Notamacropus eugenii: one gene and its partners. The protein of the gene in region 2 purifies or fractionates together with the protein of the main gene of each other region. This does not show direct contact. Links are inferred from orthologs where the notes say so. Each region holds a gene or a part of one and is shown on either strand. Other genes may lie near its edges. The genes, in order: TARBP2, protein argonaute-1 and TNRC6C.

Region 1 (6,994 bases), on a different chromosome or scaffold from region 2:
TCTTTCCTGCCGGTCACTCCACTCCAGCTCAGACATGCTGGTTGTCTGGCTGTGTGGCGGTGTGTTAGTTGGGGGGACGCATTGGGTAGTTGTGGGAGGGGAGTAGCTGTGGGAGTGGAAGTCTGCCTCTGGTAACCCCAGTTTCCAGGATGGGCTGAGGGACAACAAACACTGTTCTCATCCCCTAAATGAAAAACAGGCTTGGAAGGAAGTAAGCATTTGCTGTGTGTAACAGTAGCATCCAGCATAGTTAGATACTATGCTTAACACTTTACAAAGATTCTCTCATTTGATCCTCATAATCATGGGAGATAAGTGCTATTATTATCCCTACCATACACAGCTATACGGTGCAGTGGATGGAACAGTGGGCCTGAATTGGACCTCAGACACTCACTAACTGTGTGACTCTTGGCAAGTTACTTCACCTCTATTTGCCTCAGTTTTTTCAACTACAAAATGGGGGGGGGGGAGGTGCAGTAATAGTAGCACCTACCTCCCAGAGCTGTTGTGAAGATCAAATAAGAGAATATTTGTAAAGCTCTGGGTACACAGTAGGTGCTATATATATAAATGCTTATTCCTTCTTATTTTAGAGTTGAAGAAACTTCAGCAGCAGCAGAAGTTAAATGACTTGCCTGCGGTCACACAGCTGATAACTATGTGAGGCTGGAGTTGAACTTAAGTTATCCTGACTCTAGGCCCAGGGCTCTATCCATTGGGCCCCTAGGTAGGGCTCTTTACAGGAAACACTGAAAGCAGTTGGGCAGAGGAAGCTAGATTTGGCCTTTTTTCGTACCTCACTAATCCAGCTGTGTCACCAATCTGGCTAAAACCCCATGTGTTCAGAGGCTGAGAAAGGACAGAGTTTAATTCAAAATAAGGGTTGTCAAACCTGGAATCAGGGCAGGTGGCTCTATCTACAGGGATACTGGTAGGATCTGGGAGAAATCCTTCACTGTGGCATCGAGGTAGAGTCAGGAGGACCCCAGTTTGAATCTTGCCTCAGACATCTGGTAGCTCTGGGGCCCTGAGCAAGTCACTTATCTTCTCTCAGCCTCAGTTTCCTTATCTGTAAAATGGGGGATAATAACAGTATGGAGCTCCCAGGGCTGTTGTGAGGAGCCAATAAGATACATGTACAGCACTTTGTAAAGCTTGAAGTGCTATAGAAATGCCAGCTATTATTCCTAGCCTGACAGAAAACTGGGTTGCTGGAGAGAACTCAGCTGGATCTTTCTTCCCACCTAGAAAGATAGGCTTGCAGGGTCAGGGAGAATCCCAGCGTCCCACCTAGAGATTCGGCTGCTCTCATCCCAAGGAGTTGGTGAATCTCTGCTCCCGGGGTGAGGCACCCCCTCCCTTCTTAGGGCCAGCTCCTTCCCGGCCCCTCATGCCCTACTTCCTCCGTTTGGGAGCCTTCCCCCTCCTCTGTGCTCCTGTCTTCATCGAACCCAAGGCCGAGGCCAGGGGAGGGATGAGGCGGAGAATGGATGTCACATTGGGGGGGGATGCAACAGCTGGATGGAGGAGGGCTATCCCGCGGGGAGCCAGGCGCCAGGGGGCCTAAGGTCTGGGCACCCAGGAGCAGGTGCCTTCGGTGCTGCAGGCTCCGGCTCTGCCCTGCCAGGTGCGCCAGGCCTTGCCCTGCCCTTCCCGTCTCCCTCCATCCTCCTCCATCCACACTCGGCTCCTCTGCCGGTCCTACCCCCCCCCCCCCCCCTCCCCCGGCCTCCCGCCCGAATCGTCTCCCCCGGCTCTGCCCCAGCCTCCTCCTCCGATCTCCACCCTCCCGCCCCCACCGCCCTGGGGCTCCCATCCCCACAAGCTCGCGGAGCCCCCCATCCCGCCGCGCCCCGCCCCTCCGGGCCGCAGGACCCCCCCACTCCGCGGCGCCCCCCCGGGCCCGGCTCTCACCTGGGGGGCTCGGCCGCGGCCTCAGCACAAAAGGCGGCGCTGCTGCGGCTCTGCTCCGGATGCTGCTCTCGGCTCCTCGCCTCCACCCCTCCCTCCTCCTCCTCCTCCCTCCGCCCCCGCCCGCTGCCCCTGACCGGAGCCGGGGCGGTGTCACGGGCGATGCTCCGGCCCGCCGCGTCCAGGGCCGCGGCTCCTTCCCCCGACCCCCACCCCCCCCCGCCGGCCCGGCCCCCGCCCCTGGCCCTCCGGGACGGACACGCCCTGAGCGGGGGAGATGCGCCGGGAGCCGCCGGCTTCTTAAAGGAGCCCGCTGCTCCCTCCCCGGCCCAGCTTCTAGCTCATCCCCCCGCTCCTGGAACCGAGACCCCTCCCCGCCCCCTCCCCCAGCTCCCCCCGCAACTCGGGTATTGGTTCCCGCTCTGCCTCTCCCCAGGGCCGCCCCCCGCGCCCCTCAAGTTGCCTCTCCAGTCCTCGGGGTCTCCCATGTCCGCCGTCCTCCCTCCAAGACTCAACATTAGTCACAGAGCACCCCTTTCTTCCCCCCCTCCCCTCAAACTCGCCCCAGCTCTCTCATGTTCCCCCATCACCTGGGTCCAGCCAGGCCTTTTCCTCTGCCTACATCCCAGCCTGACGGGATCCCGCTCAGGACCCCTCGGGGCACATTTTTTCAACTTCTTTCCCCCCACACAGATGAAAATAAAAACGGTCTTCCTTGCTTCCCCTCTGTCCCTTCTTTTCCTCCAAGACCCCCCTCATCCTAGAGCTCAACAAAGGAAGCTTTTGGATTCAATGGGAGCCGCGGCCTGGGCCTCTGGGCGGACTTCCTCCAGACCTCGTTTGGACCCTCGGGCCCCTTCTTTCGCCGGTCGGCCCGAGAGGCTTAAACCCGTACAAAGATGGTTGGCTGGGGTTGGTTAGGAAGAGGAGGGGTCTCCATAGCTCTTCACCCTCACCACCCCACTCCACTTTCCATCCACAGCTCTAACTCCACTACCATGGACAGTCCCCGAGTGAGTTTCCTTCCATCTTTCTCTAATTGGTCTTTTGGCCCAAACGCTTTCCCCTCCCATCGCAATCCTGTACCCCCCAGCATACTGGTTCCCCGGGATGGGTGAGAGGGAATGGCTAGAGGGCAGGACTTCTCCCTTGCCCTGTTGGCACCTCTCTTTCAGGCTTCTGGGGACAAAGGAAACACGAGGAATTTGGGGGTCCTCTGGGAGGGGATGGGGTTACTTGGTGCACAGGAGTTTACCCAGGCAGGGTCAGGTGAATGATGCACCCGGGGGGGGGGGGGAGCGGGGAAGAAAACAAGGACTGGGGCTCAGAACACCGAAGCAAGAATGGGGTGCGGATTCTGTAAACTGGGGGACGCGATGGATTTCCAGGAGCGCTCACTGCCCCCGCTCCCCTCCCGTCTCCAGCAGGAAGCCCTCACTCCCCGGCACACTGCAGGGTTCTGCCGGCTTCTCCAGGCTCCCCTCAGGGGGCGGGTCCCTCAGCCAATCACAGGTTCTCCTGGGAAAGAGTCCATAGCGCCCAATGTTCCGTGGTGCCCCAACCCCGCTCCCCAAGTCTCTGGTCCTCTCGCTTTTCCCTTCGGCTCCGAGCGGGCCAATCGCAGGCAGCTGGCTCGGAGGGAGTTGGCAGGAGGAGCCAATCGACGTGGCTGTACCCGTGGCGCGTGCTGGGCACCACCCCTTCAAGGGGAACTCGCTCAGCGGCCACGAGACTTCTGGATCTTGTAGTTTTCCAGGCTCCGCCCATCATCCTCCAGCACGCATGCTCACAGCATCATCCTCGCACACCGAGGAGGGCAAAACAGTGAGCGAGTTTGGGGGGGGGAGGACGACTCTTCCCAGAAGCCACTGCGACCTGGGTGGGCTAACTCCCCCGGAGAATTGTGGGGCGGGTAGCCTCGCTTCTCATGGAGGCCAATGGAATGGGGAGGATCGAGGACTACAAGTTCCGGCATGCTCCGCGACGCCCCCCCCCCCCCCCCCCCCCCCCGCCCACCTCTTTCCCCCGGCCCCGGCTCCGGCCCCGGCCCCAGCCCATGCTCGTTGGCGGCGGCGGCGGCGGCGGCTCGGGGCGCGCGGAGCCTGCAGTCACGGTGGCGCCCGCAGGGACGGAGGAGGGAATGAGTGAGGAGGAGCAGGGTTCCGGGATCATCACAGCCTACGGACTCCCCAGGTGAGTTGGCCGACTCACACTGACCCCTGCAGGGCGGAGGCCGCAGTGCGGGAGGGAGGCGGAGCGCGTAGACCCAGCATGCACCGGGTCTTGGAAGGCTGGGGCTGGGGGTTGGGGGTGAGGAGGGGTGGTTAGCCCAGCCACGGGACGGGACGGGACGGGACGGCACTGCGGTGGGGGGGGTTATTCCCAGCAGCCACCACGGCACGGGCTTTTCTGTTCCCACCATGCACCACGGTGGTGGCTGCTAAGGACCCACCATGCACTTGGGTGGAGGCTACCCAGCTTTCAGCGTTTACTTGATTTCCCAGAATGCCCCGAGACAGCGGCCCCCTTTGTTCCCCGCATGCCCCAGGGCTGTAGGCCCTGAGTTTCCCATCATGCACTTGGCCGGAGGAGCCAAGGATGCTAGACTCGGGGGCATTGGCCATGAGCCCTCTGTTCCTCACTCCCTAAGGGCGCCCAGGGGGTGGTCGTCAGCATGCCCCTCCCCGCGCCCTCTGGCTCCCCTCCCCGCCTCTGGACAGCTGGTGGAGCTGCTCCTCGCCTCCGCCCCGATACCCCTGGGCCCCTAGCCATCCCGCACCCCGGGTGCCAGCCGGCAGTGCCCGTCAGTGGGGGGTCCGAGAGGGACCACGATGCAGGCCTGTGTACCTCCCCCTAGTATAGAGCAAATGCTGGCGGCCAGTCCCGGCAAGACCCCAATCAGCCTTCTGCAGGAGTATGGCACCAGAATAGGCAAGACTCCCGTGTACGACCTCCTCAAAGCCGAGGGCCAAGCCCACCAGCCCAATTTCACCTTCCGAGTCACCGTCGGTGACACCAGCTGCACTGGTGAGGGGGCGTCGGGTGCCCTGGCCAGGGGTGCGTGTTCTCAGGACCTCCACCGGGCTTCGCCTGGGGGGAGGGGCCTTTACTTTCCTCCCAGGGGCTGGGGGCGGGGTGTCTGAGCCTCAAGTGCTTCTGAAAGTCAGCTGGAACCAAGAGCATGCTTAGGTATGGGGGAGGCGGGAGGAACTTAGGAGCCTCCTCTTGGTCGGGGTGTCATCTGCAGCCCCAGAGGGGCAGAATGCTGTCAGACACAGGGATCACCTGATTTTACTTAAGTATGCTTCTCCAGAATAATGAGAAAGAGTTCTTTTGGTGGGAGGGCACTGGAAAAGGATAGGTTTCTTAAAAACATCGATGAAGTATTTTTAAAGGACTGAGAGTAGATTGTGAGATACTAGAAGAGATTAACAGACACTGCTAGGGAAGTGTCTGTCTGGAATGGCCTGATTCTAGTCCTGCATGGTGGTGGGTGGTGGGGGTAGCAGGAGATGGGGATGAGGGTTCTTCTGGCTCTTGTGTAACCTGCCACCCCTCTCCCAGGTCAGGGCCCCAGCAAGAAAGCTGCCAAACACAAAGCAGCTGAGGTGGCCCTCAAACACTTGAAGGGAGGAAACATGTTGGAGCCGTTTCTGGAGGATGGAAGGTGAGGTGTGTCCAAGTAATTTTTGAGCCCTTGAGAAAACTGCCCTACCCATCTGAGCACCACTTACTACCTGAGTTAGTAATAGGCAGTTTGATCTCTCCCACCATCTACCAACAGCTGAGTCCACTCCCAGGGCATAAAGAGCTGTTTAGTGGCCCCTCGAAGGATCAGTCCTTACGGACCCTGATTTAGGGTTGAAACTTGAGGTCTTAGTCTAATAGGGGATAACCTCCAAGCAAAACTCCTTTTTCCTATTGTTTACATTAGACTGTGAAGGAGTCTTAGTACAGTGGTCATTCACATTGGCTGAGCCGAGCCCCTATTGAGGGGCCCTTGTTTTAGTCATGTCCAACTCTTTATGACCCCATTGGGGGTTTTCTTGGCAGACATACGGGAGTGGTTTGCCATTTCCTTCTCCAGCTCGTTTTACAGAGGAGGAAATGGAGGCAAACAGGGTTGAGTGACTTGGCCAGGGTCACACAGCTAGCCAGTGTCTGAGACAGGATCTGAGTTCAGGAAGATGAGTCTTCCTGACTCCAGGCCTAGTTCTTTGTCCACCACTGCCCAGAGAAGAGGTCCTTAGGGAGGGTAATTGTTTGAGGAGATTGATTCCCACAGGGACCTCTGCCCTGTCCATATTTCCTCTTCTCCTGCCAGTCTAGACACTTCTAAAAATGCTAAATCCTAAATACCTCCAAAATTCTAAATACGTCTTTTGGCTCTTTGAGTAGAAAAACTTCCCCATTCCGCTGAGAGGCCATTGGCTCTGTCTTCTTTTGGGCTTCCTTCTGATGGGTGAGAAGACAGTACAGGATGGGGAGAAACATGTTCCCCAGTCCTTGGGAAGTTGTCTTCTTAGAATGCCCGCTCTCTGCTGATACCCCTGTTGCTGGGCCTGATTCACACCCCACCTCACCTCAGCAGCAAGCAAGGCTTCAAGGAGTGAAGGGAGTTGGGAGTGGTTCACCTTCTGCCTTGGGCAGGTCTTTTCTGAGCCCCAACAGGCTAAGACTGAAACCAAGCCGCCTGTCTATCCTTGTCACATAGTGAAGTCCAGCAATGCTGGGGGATGCCTGAGGGGAGGAGTGGTGGAGCTGATACCAGCAAGTGGAGTTGGGGGCAGGAAGACTGCCATGTGTCCTCAAAGAGATGGGCTGTTTCTGTGCCCTACTCTTTGGGACTAGAGATAGTTGGCTTGACCTGGGACAGATGGTACCTGTGACTTTCTCTCCTCTCTTTGGTCAGAACATGTTCCATATTCTCAAATCTAAAGTCTAGAGTTCTTCAAAATAGCTATTTCGAGGGGAGCAGACAAGTCTTCTATGGTGTGGGAGTCTTTATTTCTCAGGGTGGGGAAGCCTGTTTTCAGCAGCGGAGACTAAGGCCATATGTTTGGAAGGACTTCCTGCCCAT
Region 2 (7,845 bases):
GCTCTCAGTGTTACAAAATTGCTTAGAACTCGATAATACGGGCAACACGGTAGCAATACTGGAGTTAGGAGAGATGCAAGTCCAAATTCTGCCTCGGGTACTTAATAGCCCTGGGATCATGGGCAAGTCACTTCTACCTCTATGAACCTCAGCTTTCTCATCTGCAAAATAGGGTAATGATACTTTAACATGGAGCTCACAGGTTCTCATGAATCTCAGATGAGAATATTTGTGTAGCCTATTTTAAAGCATTAACATAAATGTCAACTACTATTATTATTATGACAAGCCTAACAGTGCTACATAAATGTCACCTATTATTATATGGGGAACATGAGGATAGAAGGGGAAAAATCACCATCAGTTCTCCAACAACAGCCTGCAGTCCAGCCTGCCAGGTACCTACTTAAAACTCCCTTGGAAACAGGCACCTAAGCAGCCAGGGTGGCAGGCGTCATCATTTTTAGCCTCCTTACGTGGGTTGTGGTAAGAAATGATTTGTCCTGATCCATAAGACTGTTGCTGAGAAAATACTTTGAGGAGACAGAGACATGGTCCCTATTTACTAGTCCTATGTGTGATCACAATCTCTCTCTGCCTCAATTTCCTTACCCATAAAACGGAAATAATAGTAGCACCTACCTCAACAAGTAGGGTGGCTGTGAGGACCAAAGGAAATATTATATGTAAGGAACTTTGTGAACCTTAAAGCACTACAGAAAAGTTCACTGTAAAGGCACCAAAGTGTACAGGAAAGATTGCTGGACTTGGAATTAGGAGAGAAGGAGGGGGAGGCGCTCAAATCACTGACACTCTCTTAATTCTTGTCCTGCCTGCACCTGGTCCACCAATTCATGGTCCACCACCTGAAGAAGAAATGTCAGTCCTTAATGTCTCTCCCACCCGATGGGTGGGTGGGAGAGGGCCTATAGCATCGTTCCCTGATGGCCTTCTAGTTTGGGGAACAGAAAGAAACAGGATAGCCTCCAAACCTCACTGAGTATCTAGACTCCAGCATTTTCAACTTCTGGATTGACTTGCCTCAGTTTCCCTCCATTTCTTGTTTCCTCCATTTCTTCTTAATCATGAAAGGCCGGTGAAGCTGATCTCTACCACCCCAACAAAAGCTGACTTACAATGGGGTTAACTTAGTAGCAACACTCCCCATCCTCCCCCAGTCCCCCAAAGTGTGTATAGTAGAAGGCAGCAGGCAGCAGGGGCCTGGATTGTTTTGTGTCCAGGGCCCTGACAGCTGCTCTGGGTGGGGGAGGGGAGAACGCCGGCTGGCTCACTCCACAGACCCTTACTGAAAGCAGGGCTGGGAAAGGGATTTTTTTTTTTAAATGTTCTGAAATCTTGACACCCAAAGACGTTCCAAACGAACCAGGCTTTGTGCGTGGATTTAAATTCCTGATTCTCCCCCCACATACCGAAAGGGGGAGAAGAACCCAAAACCTCACACACCTCCTCAATGGGAGGGAAGGGGGGCGGACCTGGGCATTCTCCAAACCTTCCAACAAACCAAACCCAGCAGGAAAAAATCAGACCCGATGTTGGAGGCAAACCCGGGGACCAGACAGGCTCTTTCTCCCAGATTTCCAACCTCGCTCCGCCTCCCCATCAATATTCCGGCGCTAGGCTCCTTCTATCTCAGGAGCCCCTCCCCAAACCAGTGTCCGAATCTATTAGTCCTCGCCCCAACCCAATCAATGTCAGTTTCCAGGCCGATGAACCTTCACATCTGTCTCCACGAACTGAAATCAACATCACTTTCTAGGCCTTGAAATGCTCATATTTCTGCCCCTCCAATTCCTCCTATGCATCAGAGAAAGGAGCTATGCTGGCCACCCCAAACGTAAGGCGTCCCTAGGATCCAGCAAGGGGGAAACTCCCCCAAATCCCATAGCCTATGGAATCTCGGAGACAGGGTCTCCTCCCCCTGCCGCCCCCGCCCCCACCCCACCCGGACCCCAAACCGACTCAACGCAACCCAGCTCTGCGCATGCTCGGGGCTTGGGCCCCCCCCCCCCCCCCCAACCCCTCACCACTTCTCTCCACCGCCCCCAGACCTCAGGCCCCTTCCCCCAATTCTACTTTTTTCAACTGTGGAACACCAAAGCCGCCTTCTCTCACAGGATCCAGAGTCTGATCCCCTATCCCCCTCTCCATCCAAACCCCCAGCCTCTATCGCGGCCTCACTTCCCTTCCCCCACCGCAGCCCAAACACCAGGAGCATCCCCCTCCCCGAAGGTTCATCCCTCTGCTCAGACTGAGCCCCCAGTTCTCTGGTTTCCCCGCCCCAGCACTACGAACGCATTCTCCTGAGCTCGAATTTTGACCCCCATCCTACCTCAGTGTCCCCCATTTGCCCAGGCTTGGGAACCTCAACAATCCTCAGGTACCACCAAAACCCATACTCAGAGCCCTTCCCATGCTGTGTACACAGGGTTTCCCCTGCAGCCAGGAGATACCCTCATCTCCGGAACCCGGGCCTCGATCCTCCCCCCCTCCACAAACACAAGTCTCAGAATCTCAAGAAGCCCTTTCCCCATAGATCCAAGCCTCTCCCTTCCCCGCAGGTGCACTGAAGCTTCCCCCGCCACCTCCAAGCATACAAGACCCCCTCCTCACTTTGCAGACGTACTGCCCCCCCTCTCCATGCACACAGCCCCCCACGCAGGTGCACAGGCCTTTCTCCCCTGTCCTCCCAGACATGCACACATCCATGCTCACAAGTCCCCCTCCCCTTCTCTAGTGACACAGACCCCTACGCACCCACACACAGAGCCCCCGCCCCCCTGTGGCACCCAGGCCTCCCCTCAAACAGGCCATTACCTGCTCCCGAGGGTCCCGCTTCCATCCCATATACCCGTGTGTAGGTCAGGCGGCTGGGAGAGAGTCTGGTGCACGGCGTGGGGGGGCCCGGGCCTCCGTCGCTCCCGTGGTTCCCGCTCCCGGGCCGGGCTCCGCTCCCCCCCCCCCACCCCGGCTGCTCCCGCCCGCCGCCGCCGCTGCTGCAAGCTCTCCCTGCAAGCAGCCGGCCAGCCCTAAGTGCGCAGGCGCGCCCGCCCCAGGGCCGAGAGGGTGGACGGGAACAAGTCAAGCCCGTCTCTCCAACAGCAACAAAGGCCAGCGGAGCAGGGAGGGAGAGAAGGCTCTCCGAGTGGCCCGCCCCCTACCGCCCAGTCGGCGGCGCTGCACGCCGAGCCCACTGCCAGACTCGCGGCTCGAGGCTCGGCTCTGAGCTTCAGGCTCCGCAGCTGAGCAGGTGGGATTGCATCTGCACCCCAGGGCTCTCCCAACGAGGGAGGGGCCCTGCTAGACTAGCATGGGGGAGGGGGAGTCTGGAAGCCGAGAGCGTAACACTGGCCCGGGGCCAGCATTCTCCCCGGCTCTGTAGCCCAGAATCTTTTGTCTGACGAAGGCAGCCTGGGGCAACGGTACCTCCAGCACTCCCACCCACCCAGGGAATACCAGAAGCACACTGAGTTGCTCCCGACCTGATCTTAAGGGGAGCTTTATTAAAAGACGCAAGTCAATTAGTCTCTGAGCCTCAATTCCTTGATCTGCAAAATAGAGATAATATGGATGACACTTCTTATTCCCTGGGGGTGGTTTTGTAGTGAGAAAAGCACTTTTTAACCTGAAAGCACAAGAGAAATGTATTATTATGATTAATTATCATTATCACTATACCAAACAACGCCAGGGAGGGAAATGAGCGCAGAACTATGGAGGAAGGAGAGCTGAGTTCTACTAAATAAATTTGATTTAATGTCTTTATTGAGCACCTACTATATTCATAAGTCTAGGGACACAAAGGCAAAAAGAAATAGTTCTTGCCCTCAAGAAGTTTACTGTTACTGAGTGTGAAACAGATATACACCCGAGTAAATACAAAATATATAAAAATGAATACTAAGTAACTTAATGAAACTAACAACTGGGGAAATTAGACAAGATCTCGGATAGCAGGTGGTACTTGAGCTGAGCCTAGGAATTCCAAGAGGCAGAGGGAAAGGAGAACATTCCAGGCATGAGGAGAGGGGGCGGGAGAGATATCCTCTGCAAAGGCAAGGGCAAGGGAAGTGGAAGTGTCCCTCCTTTATGAGGGCCATCCAGTGGGCCACTCTGGCTGGAATGTAGAATGACTGAAGAGTAATATGAAAGCAGTCTAGAAAGGTAGGCTGTAGCCTGATAGCTTTAAATAGCAAATACGTGCACCTATTTTATCTTATACAAAATAGTAAACCATTGAAGTTTCTTGAGCAGGGAAATGAAATGGTCAGAACCATACTCCTTAGCTGTACTTTAGGCAAATTACCTCTCTCAGTACTTTCCCTGTCTGTAAAAGTAAAGAGGGTTAGACCAGATACTGAGGTTCTTTGCAGAAGAACTAGACTTCTGAAGACCCAAAGAAGCAAAATGAGAAAGGCAATTAATTAGGACTTCCCTGAAGATGCAAAGAGACAGGTCATACAAGAGAAAGTGTTACTCCCCTCAGATAAATATCCCCTCAGACACTACAGTGGAAATGCCAGTAAAAAGAGGCAGGATTAGCAGAAGAGCAGAGCTATAACTAGGGTGGGGTGGCTGGGACATAGTCCCAGTTGCTAACAGTACTTACATTACTTTAGCAGCTAGAAAATACTTAGCTTAGCACCTAGTTAACAAGAATTAATTAAAATGTAAAGCTACCAGATGGCAAGCTCAACCTGTGATAGAGCTTCCTTGCCATATCCCAGGATTTTGTCCTAGGGTTTTTGACACCCAGCCACCACTTGTGTTTGTCCAAAAGGCTGACGTCAGGGCATGTTTTATGATGTTTGCCTCAGCATTAAAAAAAAAAAAAAACGTTGGTCATGGCTAACTCAAGGCTCTACTCAAAGAAAATTATTTTTCAGAAAAGGTAAAATCAAAGAAATAATAAAAGAAAAACTAACAGAATGAATAAAATATTATAGATGAAAAGATGCTGATGCAAAAATGCCAGAAAGAATATAGGTATTAGTACCAACAATAGTAGTTTGAGAAAAGGAAGCGGGAATTATCCCAGGTTACATGGTATATACGATGATCACCCTAAGGAGCACAGCCTTTGGAGTTAAGCATGCCACCCAAATGGCCTTTCCTTCCTAAGCCCAGTTTGAACATATCTCAGGCTTTAGCGGAACCTTAAACATTTTTTGATATCTTTTTTTTTACATCACCTTTGCCTCCAAATATATTCAATCCCTCTCCTCTTACCTCCCCAGAAAGTTGTCCCTTGCAAAAAAAAAGCCAGAGGAAAAAAGCAGTTCAGCAAAATAACCAAAATATTCACCAACTTTTAGAGTATATGCAAAGTTCTATACAGAGTCCTCCACATCTACAAAGAAGGAAAGTACATTCACTCTTTCATTTCATTTTTGTTTTTCCTTCCATTGATTTTTCAATTATTATGCATGTTGCTTTCCTAACCTTGCTTACATCTCCTGGCATCTGTTCATATGTCTTCTCATGCTTCTCTGAATTCTTCATACACATTGCTTTTTATTTGATAGAATGGTGTTTTTTAAACATCAACATAAAAAAACCCCAACCAAACAGACCATGTTTATTTGGTCATTAGAAGTCAAAAGACCTCAGTCAAAGTTCTGCTACTAACTGGCACAGTCACTTCCATGGGGAGCAAGTGACTTAGCCCCTTTGAAACTGAGTGATTAGAATCTCAGCCTCAAAAGGGATCTCAGAGTCCATCTAATCCAACAGATATCTGAATAAGAATCACTTATAACATGGCCAACAAGTGGTCATCTAGATTTCTCTTGAAGAGAGATAAAATTCTTTATCTTCCAAGAAAGTTCATTCTTAACTGTTAAGTTTCTTCCTACATTAAACCTAAATAAGCCTCTTCCAGGTAACAGCCCTGCAGATACTTGAAGACAGCTTTTATCTCCTACTTACTATTCCCCAATTTTTTTATCATTATATGATATGCTCCCTGGACTTCTCACCATCCTGCCACCTTCTTTTGGTCATACTTCCTTCAAGTTAACTTCAGGCCATTGGTTATAATTCTTTGGGGTCAATCATTTGTCCACTTTCAAAAACTCCCAAACATAATGCCATCCAACCTAACTATCTCCACCTTATCTGTACGTCTAGCATGGGAGATTATGTCAAATGCTTTTGTAACAGTGGTGTGGGCTTTATGTGCTTTTAAGTTTCACCTCGTTTTATACAGACCCTTGGTCTAGCCTATTCAGAGATCTGGGACTGGTACTCAGTCATCCACTATGTTGGCTGGCCCCCACAGCTTCCTGTTGTCTGTAAGTTTGATAAGCCTGCCATCTAAGCTTTCTTCAAAGACAATGACAAAAATGTTGAATTATATAGGACCTTTTGATAGGTATTCCAGATGAGGCTTGAGACACTATTGTTGCCATAGCAGCCCACATCAGCTGGGGCTTTTCTTCCTTGAGCTCTCAGGAAAATAAAGTGCCAGTTTGCTATTAGCTATAAAATAAAAGAGTTCAGAATTTTCCCACCACTTGGTGCTGTACCAAACTACCAGCCCAGTGATCCATTCAAGGTATCTTTAATCCAGGCACTGAAGAATAGAAATATATACTAATATCTCTTTTAGTTTATGCCAACTACCCACCCTGCCAAGCAAACCATGTGTTTCATGGGGCTGAACAAGAAGGATACCTTCTTTAACTAGGTTCTGAATCTAGACCAGGGATTGAGGAAACATAGCATATAAATTACTGGAAAAAGCTCAATTTTTAACCTTTATATTTATATTACACAAGAAAACAGTTTTATCTGGCCATATGATGTAGTAGATATTTATAAAATTGCAAAGGAAATCATTAAATGCTCCTATATTGGAACACTTGGCCCATTTATTTCCTAATTCCTCATCCCTCAGCCACAGGTTGTGGAAAAAGAATGAGGGTATGGTGTGATGCTGTTGTCTAGGCCCTGGCTCCAGGTTCTAAACTGGAACAGATAAAGCAGGGAAGCAGAGGGGAGTGAGGAGGCTTGGATTAGGATTGGTCGCCTGGCCTTCCCACCAGCCAATAAGGTTTCATAGCAGATCCCAGTCCATTTTTCCTATGTGCTCACCTCTCCGGGCTGGTCGGTCTATCTCACTTCCAAGATGTCTTCTCATCTCTATCCCAGGAACCCCGACAGCGCTGCTCTCCAGGAACAGTCCCAGCTCTCCCGCCACTCTCAGCTCAGGCTGCAGTGGCAATCAGTTGCAGCAGCAGCAGCAAACAGCAGCCTGCCAGCAGCTACCTGACCTGCAGAAGCCGTCTCTCTCCTCTTCGCCTGACAACAGAACTGAATAGCGGACTGGAAGGTCTTGCAAAGGCAAAGGGCCAATCTACCCACTAGCATGCAAATTTGATAAGCAGGCACAATCTCTCCCTGTCTTCCTCACCTCTTACATAGCCTCATCCTTACCTCTAAGCATACATTTCAGTAGTAGCACCTCCAATGTCTTTCAGACTTTACTTCCCCAGTGAAAATCCTCAGTGTACCTCCAGCACACACAGTGATGAAATACGCTTCAGATTTCTACCCTTTGCTAAAGAATACTTCATATATAGTATTCTCCCAACCTACAGATTTAGTTGTCCTATCAAAATGGGAAATTAGTTATGAGATATTTTGAACACAATAGGTCAATATAATTTATTTTTAAAGGAAATGATGTTATTCTAAAAGAAATGTGGATGACTTCAAATGTATAAGGGATATTGTATTTCTTGTGTTCTCAATGGATGGGAGAGAGAGAGGAGGAAGGGAGAGAATTTGGAACTGAAAATAAAAATTAAAAAATAGAAAGAAATG
Region 3 (7,815 bases), on a different chromosome or scaffold from region 2:
CAATCCCTGTAACTCTGTGAACATCCCAAATTTGTTATTTCCTATCTCCTCAGCCAGAGCAGAGAAGAAAGCATCGTCTCTTTTAGAGGGCCATCACAATATTCAGTACATATTGCCTCTTACTTGGTTTCCCTGTTTCCAATCTCTATATCCTTCTACCAGGATCATCTTCTCAAAGCATATTTTGACTTTGTCATTCCACTGCTGAAAATTTTTTAATGATTCCTTACTCTCTACTGCTAAGAATGAGCTTAATTCCACAGTTTCTCACAAAAGCATGCTTCTTATGTAATCTATACCCCAGAAAATTAAAGTATTTTCAGAAGGGTCTGAATGGAAGGTAGCTTAGATGGTATGGTTGAGAGTTATGTCTGTATGACTCATATTAGGGTCGATTCTAGAGAAATAGCATAATGTTCTAGATTCATAAAAATATTAGCTATTGTCTATTAATCTTAGCCTTAACCTTACTCCTAAGGTTCCAGATTTCTCAGTCTTCCATTGAACCCCTAATTAGCCTCCCTACTTCCAATTACTCCCCTTTCTAACCCAAGTTCCACACATCTGCCAAATTGATATTCCTAAAGCACATGTCTGACCCTGTTCCTATCCCTCTCAAGCACTCCAGTGACTCCCTATTGCTTCTAGGATAAAATACAAACTCTTCTACCTGACATTTAAAACGCTTCACAGTTTTTTAACTCCAACCTATTCTTCTACATTGATTTCTCAATAATCATTCTAGCCAAAGTAGCTTACTTGTTAGTACATGTATTTGACACTCCACCTCTTCACTCCAAGTCTTTTCACAGGCCCAGGGTCATATATCTAGTAAGTGTTTGATGGCTGGATTTTTGAACTCAGGTATTCCTAACTCAAAATGGAGTGCTCTATCCACTGTATCACCTACTGATTCTAGGAATAAGTCTAAAACTTAGCTCAGTTCCTACATGGTATTGGTCCCACCAACTCCATATCCTTCTGGATGAGTTCTTCCAATGTACTGTAATACCAAAGATCACTTCAAAACATCATTCCTTGCTCATAAGGCCATCAATACTTCAATAAGTGCAAAACTCAGCCTGGATTCCTGTAGATCACTCTCCTGAACAAGAACTCCATTCCCTTCACTTAGAATGGGTAAGAAGAATGAGAGAACCGGGAATGACTAAAACAAGAATGTTAAGAACAAAAACAGAGGCCCATTTTGGGGTTGGAGGGAAAGGGTATGTGACATATGGCCTCAGAGCCCTTTACTACATGGTCTTTTACTGAATGCTCTGAAAGAAACAGGCACTTAGCTTCCTCAGACACAAATGAAAGAAAGGGATAGTGGAAACCGATTCAGGCCTTTTTGAGAATACTAACAGTTCTAGATATGCAACCAACTGAAAAAAGCTCCTTCCAACAACACAATTACCCAACCAGAACCAGTTACAGAATGTTCATGTACGCTCCACAGTCTCTTCATGGCACTGTCCTTATATGTTGTCAAGACTTCCCCAGAAGTAAACTCCCTAGCATCTTCTATGTGGATAAGTTGCAACAGCTGAACAAGCTGAGAGAGTCTGTACATGTGTTGTCTCCCATCATACTCCTTTTAACTCTTAAAAGAATAATAAAACTAAAAACTTTAAATATTTAAAAACTTTAAAAAATAAAAAACTCTTACAGAATAATAAAATATCAGAATCAAAAAGGACCTAGTGATGCTAGAACAAAATACAGACATTCTTCCTACCATGCAAGAATTCCTTCTACACCTTTGACTTGAGCCACAAGAGCTCAGCTCACTTACTAGATGGTTCATGCCATTGTTGGACAGCTCTAATTACAATGCAGTATTTGCTTATATTAATGCAAAATCTGACTTCCTGCAATTCATACTTATTCCTTCTTGTACCATGGTTTGCAGTAATACAGAAAGTCTATTTCCCCTTTCCATGTAACAGGCCTTCATACATGTGAAGAAAGATATTATGTCACATTTATCGTTACTTCCGTACACTAAACATTCCCAGTTTTCTCAGTGTTTCTGATATGACATGATCTATAAACCTTTCACCCAGTTCATTTATATACAGTGGGAATATTACTTCTCTTGATCTGAACATTAGGCATCTCTTAATGTAATCTGAGATTACATTAGCTCTTTAACAGCTCTGTAACACTTTTGTACACATTGAGCTTTGGTCCACTAAAATCTCTAGGTCTTCTTTGCATAAACTGCTGTCAAACTGTACTTCCTCAGACTACACTTGGGCAATTGGTTGTTTTTAAGATGAAAGACAGGATTTGGGCCTGTCATTTTATTTTAAAAGATTTTTCCAGCTTATTTTATCAGCTAATACTTTTGCCATTAGGACTTTTAAGTCAGAAGTTGAAGGTATGGACTAGAGGAAAGAACTGCTGATAAAGAGGTAGGACAGTAGTAAACACATACCTACCTACTGGACAATTTTGCTTAGGAATTTCCCTGATAATTGATTCCCTTAGGAATTGCAGTATGTGCAGAACACTTACTAGGCTTCATGAAAGTCATACCAAAAAGAAAAGATATCATATTTGTCTTCCAGAAATTACTGTCTAATGAAAAGCTAAACAATTTACATGTTAATAAAAAGAGGAAGGGATTACTACCTCTATTTTAAGGAAGGGGGGAATGAGACATTGAAAAATTGAAGCCACATAGAAAAGGCATCTAATCAGGACAAAGTAGAAGTCTGGTCTTATGTTTTTCATTCTTTTTTTGGTCAATTTAAATTCTACTTATTTACAATATTAACACAAGTCAAACATAGGAATCTTCAAGAATTTCATAAGTTAGTTAATATTTTATATGGTTGAGATATGAAGTTGTTACATTGCCCATGTAGTAGAGGTTGAATTGGTGCCATTACAGACAACCTGAACCCAAAGCTCTCCTAGAAACTTACAGGAATTTCAGGGACAAAGAAACTCAACATCTGAGCAGATATTTGATATGGCAAAGTCCCTGACTGCTAGCAGCCATGTGGACCATGAGTGGGGAACCTGCGGCCTCGAGGTCACATGTGGCCCTCTAGGTCTTCTGGTGAGGCCTTTTGACTAAGTCTAAGTTTTACAGAACAAATTCTTTTATTAAGAGGATTTGTACTGTGAAGTTTGGATACAGTCTAAGGACTGCACTTGATGACCTAGAGGGTCACATACGGCCTTGAGACCTCAGGTTCCCCACTCCTCTAATAATTGCAGAAAGGACTTGTTGCTTTGATAAAGATGCAGAAACCCCTGCATAATTCCATGGTCCTTTTCTACCTACTGATAGAAGTGGTGGGGTGGGGTACTATTTCAGTAAAAGGGAGAGAGTTTTTATCTGGTTTTCTCTCCCTTCCATCTTGCAGATGGCATCATGTAACTGAGATTTCCATTATGGGATAAGGAAGGGCTTCACCCCAACATCATGGTGACCCCATTCACATGACAACTAGTGCAGGGAGACTTATCTGAGCTTGTGTTTGGGACCTTGGCTTTATTTTCCAATTTTGTTTCCTTTCCTTATTTCAGGTGAATAAGTATGTTTCCCAAGACGATTATATGCAGGTAAGATGACCTCGTGAATTCAAAGGTTCAAAGATCCTGGAAAGAACTAAATGATGGGAACAAGGAATCCCAGGAAACTACTCCAGAGTTTTACTGAGATTGAAAAGCAATAAGAGGCTCCAACTTGGTCCATTTTATCAGACTTGTCGAAGTGAACTGTAAAATGCCTAATAATCAATTCCACAAATGGTTTTATGGTTAGCCCTACAGATAGTTTGGTTTAATTCTTACTGTTAATGTGCCCTTATGAGAGTCTTTTGTGTTTTGGTGTGTGTGTGTGTGTGTGTGTGTGTGTGTGTGTGTGTGTGTGTGTATAAGAAATAAATACCCACCCTCATACAAGATTCATATTATGCATAGGGTACCTTTCTACTCCCCAAATTTGGGAAAATCCACCGTGTGAGCCTAAACCTAAGCTACAAGTAAATTTTCCTCCCTGTGGCCTTTCTCCCTCACTGGGCTTTAGCTCTAATAAGCTGAAGTGTGAGAAAAGAGAACCAGATCCTACTCATTAGAGACTGGATTCTCCCAGAACCGAACCCCTTTCAAACCGCATGTCTGGGTCCAGTGCAGATACAGTCCTTCTGGCTCAGTAGGTGTTCTTCAATCCTATACCCTCCTTTTGGGGAGTATCTTGTAATTGTATGCCAACTTTACAGAAACAGGAAGGATGTGAGCTCTTCGAGGACAAGAGTGAAAAGAAGGTGGATAAAATGGTGAGTGGAGGAATCAAGAGACGCTGTCGGGGTTCAATTCTTACTGACTGGTGAAGGTTTTAAGAAAGGCCACCCAGCAGAACCAGAAACCGGACAGCACCTTCGAAAGCTCTGGGAGAGTCTGAGTATGGATGGGAAAGGTAAAAAATGGCCCCAAGAAGGCAGGAGCGCCCGAAGCTCCCGGGAGAAGTGGGACTAAAGGAGGCACGAACCATCCTGCCCCTCGATTAGCGTTATCTCCTTCATCCGCTAGGAAGTCCTCAAAGATGGACAGTACTGTAGTCCCTCCCCGAAGCCTGGGGAGTTACCTAAGCTTTAAAGTAGTGCCTCTGAGCCCGGGGATGCGGAAAGGCGTTTGCCCCAAATGCTGTGCGAAAAAAATGGAGAAAATTGTTGGTTTCGTGAAATTCTTCCGTGCTCTAGCTGGAATTTAAAATAAAAATGCGGTGTTTCCATTCAGCAAACATTTGAGTGCCTCCTGCGTTCAATCGACCCTCTGCGAACAGCGGGGGAGGGGAGGAGGCGGCTTTTAGGCTTAGGACACCTCCGCGAAGGAGGCAGCAGCCGCGCCTAGCCCGAGTGCGGGCGCGTACGCAGACCCCGGGGTGGGCAGAAGGGAAGCGTGCTTGTGTCGCGGCCAAAACATGGATGTCTGCTCGGGGGCTGCTTGGCGTTGAGGTTGGTTTGAGCCGCGGGCAGGGAGTCGGGACTGGGTGGCAAGTGCATGGGGGGGAATGTACCTGGTGGGGTAACTCAGCCAAGGGGGCAGGGGGAGGCTTCCTTTGGGGTCTGTGGGCATGCATGCGTGTTCATGCGTGTGCATGGGTGATGGGGGAGGGGTTCGCGTGTGTGGTCGGCTGGGGCGGGGGGAGGGAACGTGCTTGGGGCCCCGGGGATGTGTGCTTTACTGGAGCTGCTGTACCGTCGCATAAATATCCTGCGCTCCACCTCAGGGCCCTTCTCTCCTCCAAGCTTTTGCTTCGGGGACCGTTCGGATCGATTTTAAATGGAGCTGATGTTGAGACAGGGCCTCCTCTCCCTTCCTGTCCAATGAGATAACACGGAGTCACATCACCAGGACGGGGCGGGGGAGTGGGGGGAGAGCTGGTAATGGAGGAAAGAGAGGAAGAAACTGCGTGGATGCTCCCTCGTACCCCGGAGGCGGGGAGGAGAGGGGAGATGGGGAGTAAGATGGATAAGACTCCTCTGGGCTCGCCAAGACCAGGCCGGTGCTACGGTTTAGGGAGGGGAAGGCAGGAGAAGGCGTGGCGTAACGCCGAGGAACCAGTGGTCGAGGGTGGAGGGGACGCGCTCTGTGGGCGGAGCAGGAGCGAGACCCGGGATTGGCCAGAACTTCTAGTATGCAGATACGGTGGGTGTCACGTGCCAGGGACCGGGACTACTTCCTGTTTGAAGCCGCAGAGGGGCGGGGAAGGGGGCGCGAGCGCCCCGTCTGGCGGGAGAGGGGGAAAGGAGGAGGGGGGGGCAGTTGTCTGAAGGGAGGGAGGGAGGGAGGAGGAGGAGGTGGTGTTCTTGTCAGTTAGAGCAACAAAATGGCCGCGGTGGCAGCTCCGCACCTCAGCGCGAGGGCCCCGGGAGCAGCAGCAGCAGCCGCCGCCGCCCAGCAGCAGTGAACACCTCTCATTGATTCCATCTCCTGTCCGCTGCCGGAGCTGTCTCCTCTCCTGCAGCGCTGTGCTGGACGCCCCCTGGGAGGCCCGCCCGAGCCGTGGGTGGGAGCGGAGTCGGCCCTGCGCTTGCCCGGGTCCGCTGCGGAGCTGCTTCGCCGCCGCCGCCGCTGCCGTTCTGCGGCTCGGGCTCCCCCGTTTGAGGAGGAGGGCTAGTCGAGGCTGCTCGAGGACCTGGACCTGCCCGGACCCGCCGCTGCCGCCTCCTTGCTCTCCCTGCCGCCGCCGCCGCCACCTCCCACCCGCCGCCCGGGCCGGACTCCGCGCAGGCGGGAACCTCTGCCCCTGGCCCCGGTGCTTGACTCCGAGGAGCGGAGAGGGCAAGGGTTCTTTCTGCCGCCGGAGATCCAGCGAAGCCCCCGGGCGGCTCCTGACAGGTTTAAGCCTCCTGCGTTGCCGGAGCCGCGAGCTGCAGCCGCCGCTGGGCCAGGAGCCGAGGTGAGTGCGGCTGGACCCGGGGATGCTCCCCAGGCTGGGAGCCCTGCGCACCGCAAGGTCCGACCTCGGGAGCCCCAACTTGCTCCCAGATGCCGAGAATGTCTTTGTTCGGCCAAGTTGAGGTGTCTGGGTGGGAGGTGCTGGGTAAGCTGCTCGCGAAGGTTGCTTTACCACAAGGATGTAATTCCGCAATTCCATCAGACGCTTGGGGAAAAGGGGGGGGAAAGCTGAGGTCTGTTGTGCTGGCATCACGGTTTTTCCTTTGCCGTTTGGCCAGAAACAAATGATCCCTGGGTGGATTTTTTTATTATTCACTCGTGTTTATTTAAAAAGCAGTGCTGGGGATAGAAAAAGGCATTTTCATTATTGTTATTTGGAAATGCGTTTTTAAATTTCTATGTATTGAACTGCGTTTATGGGCAGTTGTATGATTTGAATCTATCATTTACAAATAAAAGACGCCCTTTTTCCCCCCTTTTTTGGTTTGGCAGTATGGATTTGAGGAAAATCTGTTCCCATTTAAAAGAAGCCTTCACATTATAGACTCGCGTCGAATATAAAATTAAGGGAAACTGGCTTTTACATCTCGTTTGCATATGCATCGAGAAATTTAAAACTCGGATTTTATTTTCTGATGATGGTGATCTTATTGCATATCCATCTCTTCAGGTGAATTTCCTAACGGCATTGTGGGCAGCAAGTGATGTATATGAGAAAAGATGAGCCGTGCAACATCTGTACTGTTAAAAGATAACGTTACTCGGAGTACCTCAATTTCACTTGTTTAAGGAACATTTGTTTCCGCTTGTGATTTGTAAATAGGATTTTAAGTAATTGATCCAGAGCTATTAAGCACGCATATGTAAGTGTAGGATTTCCTGTTTTAAGATACCACTTGTGTGTTAAAGTGAAGTTTGGAAATAAAGGTTGTTTATCCAGTGAACGATTGGAGTAAATGGAGTTTTCTTTTTGGTGGGTAGCACCTATCATATTGTTCTTTGACTGTGATTCTGTATGTAATTAGTTGAATTGTTTCAAATCTTTGACAAAATCCCAACTAAACCTCCATTTGAATGATCTACTATTTCCAGATGTGAATTACAAGTTCGGAACTCAAAATGGTGTACAAATGTCTTGGTAAGTGAAGTGCCTTCAAGGAGTGCTACATCAGGTGTTTAGTAGCTTCTGAGTGGCATATATTGTATTGCCATAGTTTGGCTTTTCCTTCAGTATAGGTGTACTTCAAACGGAAGAGATGGCTATTTCTGGTTATTATCATGCAGATGATTTTTAAACTTCAGAAAAGTAGGACCTTCCTTAAAGTTATTTCAAATGTTTAATTTTGGATCATCAAGAGCAATGTGAATGCACCAAAAATGTGGACTCTTGTT

What was found.
Region 1: the proteins of protein argonaute-1 (region 2) and TARBP2 purify together in Homo sapiens (co-immunoprecipitation; 4 studies listed by BioGRID and IntAct, with this or other methods). This does not show direct contact. The link is inferred for Notamacropus eugenii from reciprocal best matches to the Homo sapiens genes AGO1 and TARBP2.
Region 3: the proteins of protein argonaute-1 (region 2) and TNRC6C purify together in Homo sapiens (affinity purification with mass spectrometry; 5 studies listed by BioGRID and IntAct, with this or other methods). This does not show direct contact. The link is inferred for Notamacropus eugenii from reciprocal best matches to the Homo sapiens genes AGO1 and TNRC6C.

The regions. Positions count from the first base shown.
Region 1 is NC_092874.1:226,513,822-226,520,815, forward strand, and holds the start of TARBP2 (RISC-loading complex subunit TARBP2), read left to right. Parts: upstream 1-3,910; 5' UTR 3,911-3,970; coding exon 3,971-4,107; intron 4,108-4,771; coding exon 4,772-4,971; intron 4,972-5,478; coding exon 5,479-5,581; intron 5,582-6,994. UniProt on the Homo sapiens protein: Required for formation of the RNA induced silencing complex (RISC). Component of the RISC loading complex (RLC), also known as the micro-RNA (miRNA) loading complex (miRLC), which is composed of DICER1, AGO2 and TARBP2.
Region 2 is NC_092876.1:83,777,343-83,785,187, forward strand, and holds the start of protein argonaute-1, read right to left. Parts: upstream 3,031-7,845; 5' UTR 2,861-3,030; coding exon 2,836-2,860; intron 1-2,835.
Region 3 is NC_092873.1:319,097,418-319,105,232, forward strand, and holds the start of TNRC6C (trinucleotide repeat-containing gene 6C protein), read left to right. Parts: upstream 1-4,812; 5' UTR 4,813-4,946; coding exon 4,947-4,976; intron 4,977-6,298; exon of another isoform or gene 6,299-6,424; intron 6,425-6,753; exon of another isoform or gene 6,754-7,815. UniProt on the Homo sapiens protein: Plays a role in RNA-mediated gene silencing by micro-RNAs (miRNAs). Required for miRNA-dependent translational repression of complementary mRNAs by argonaute family proteins.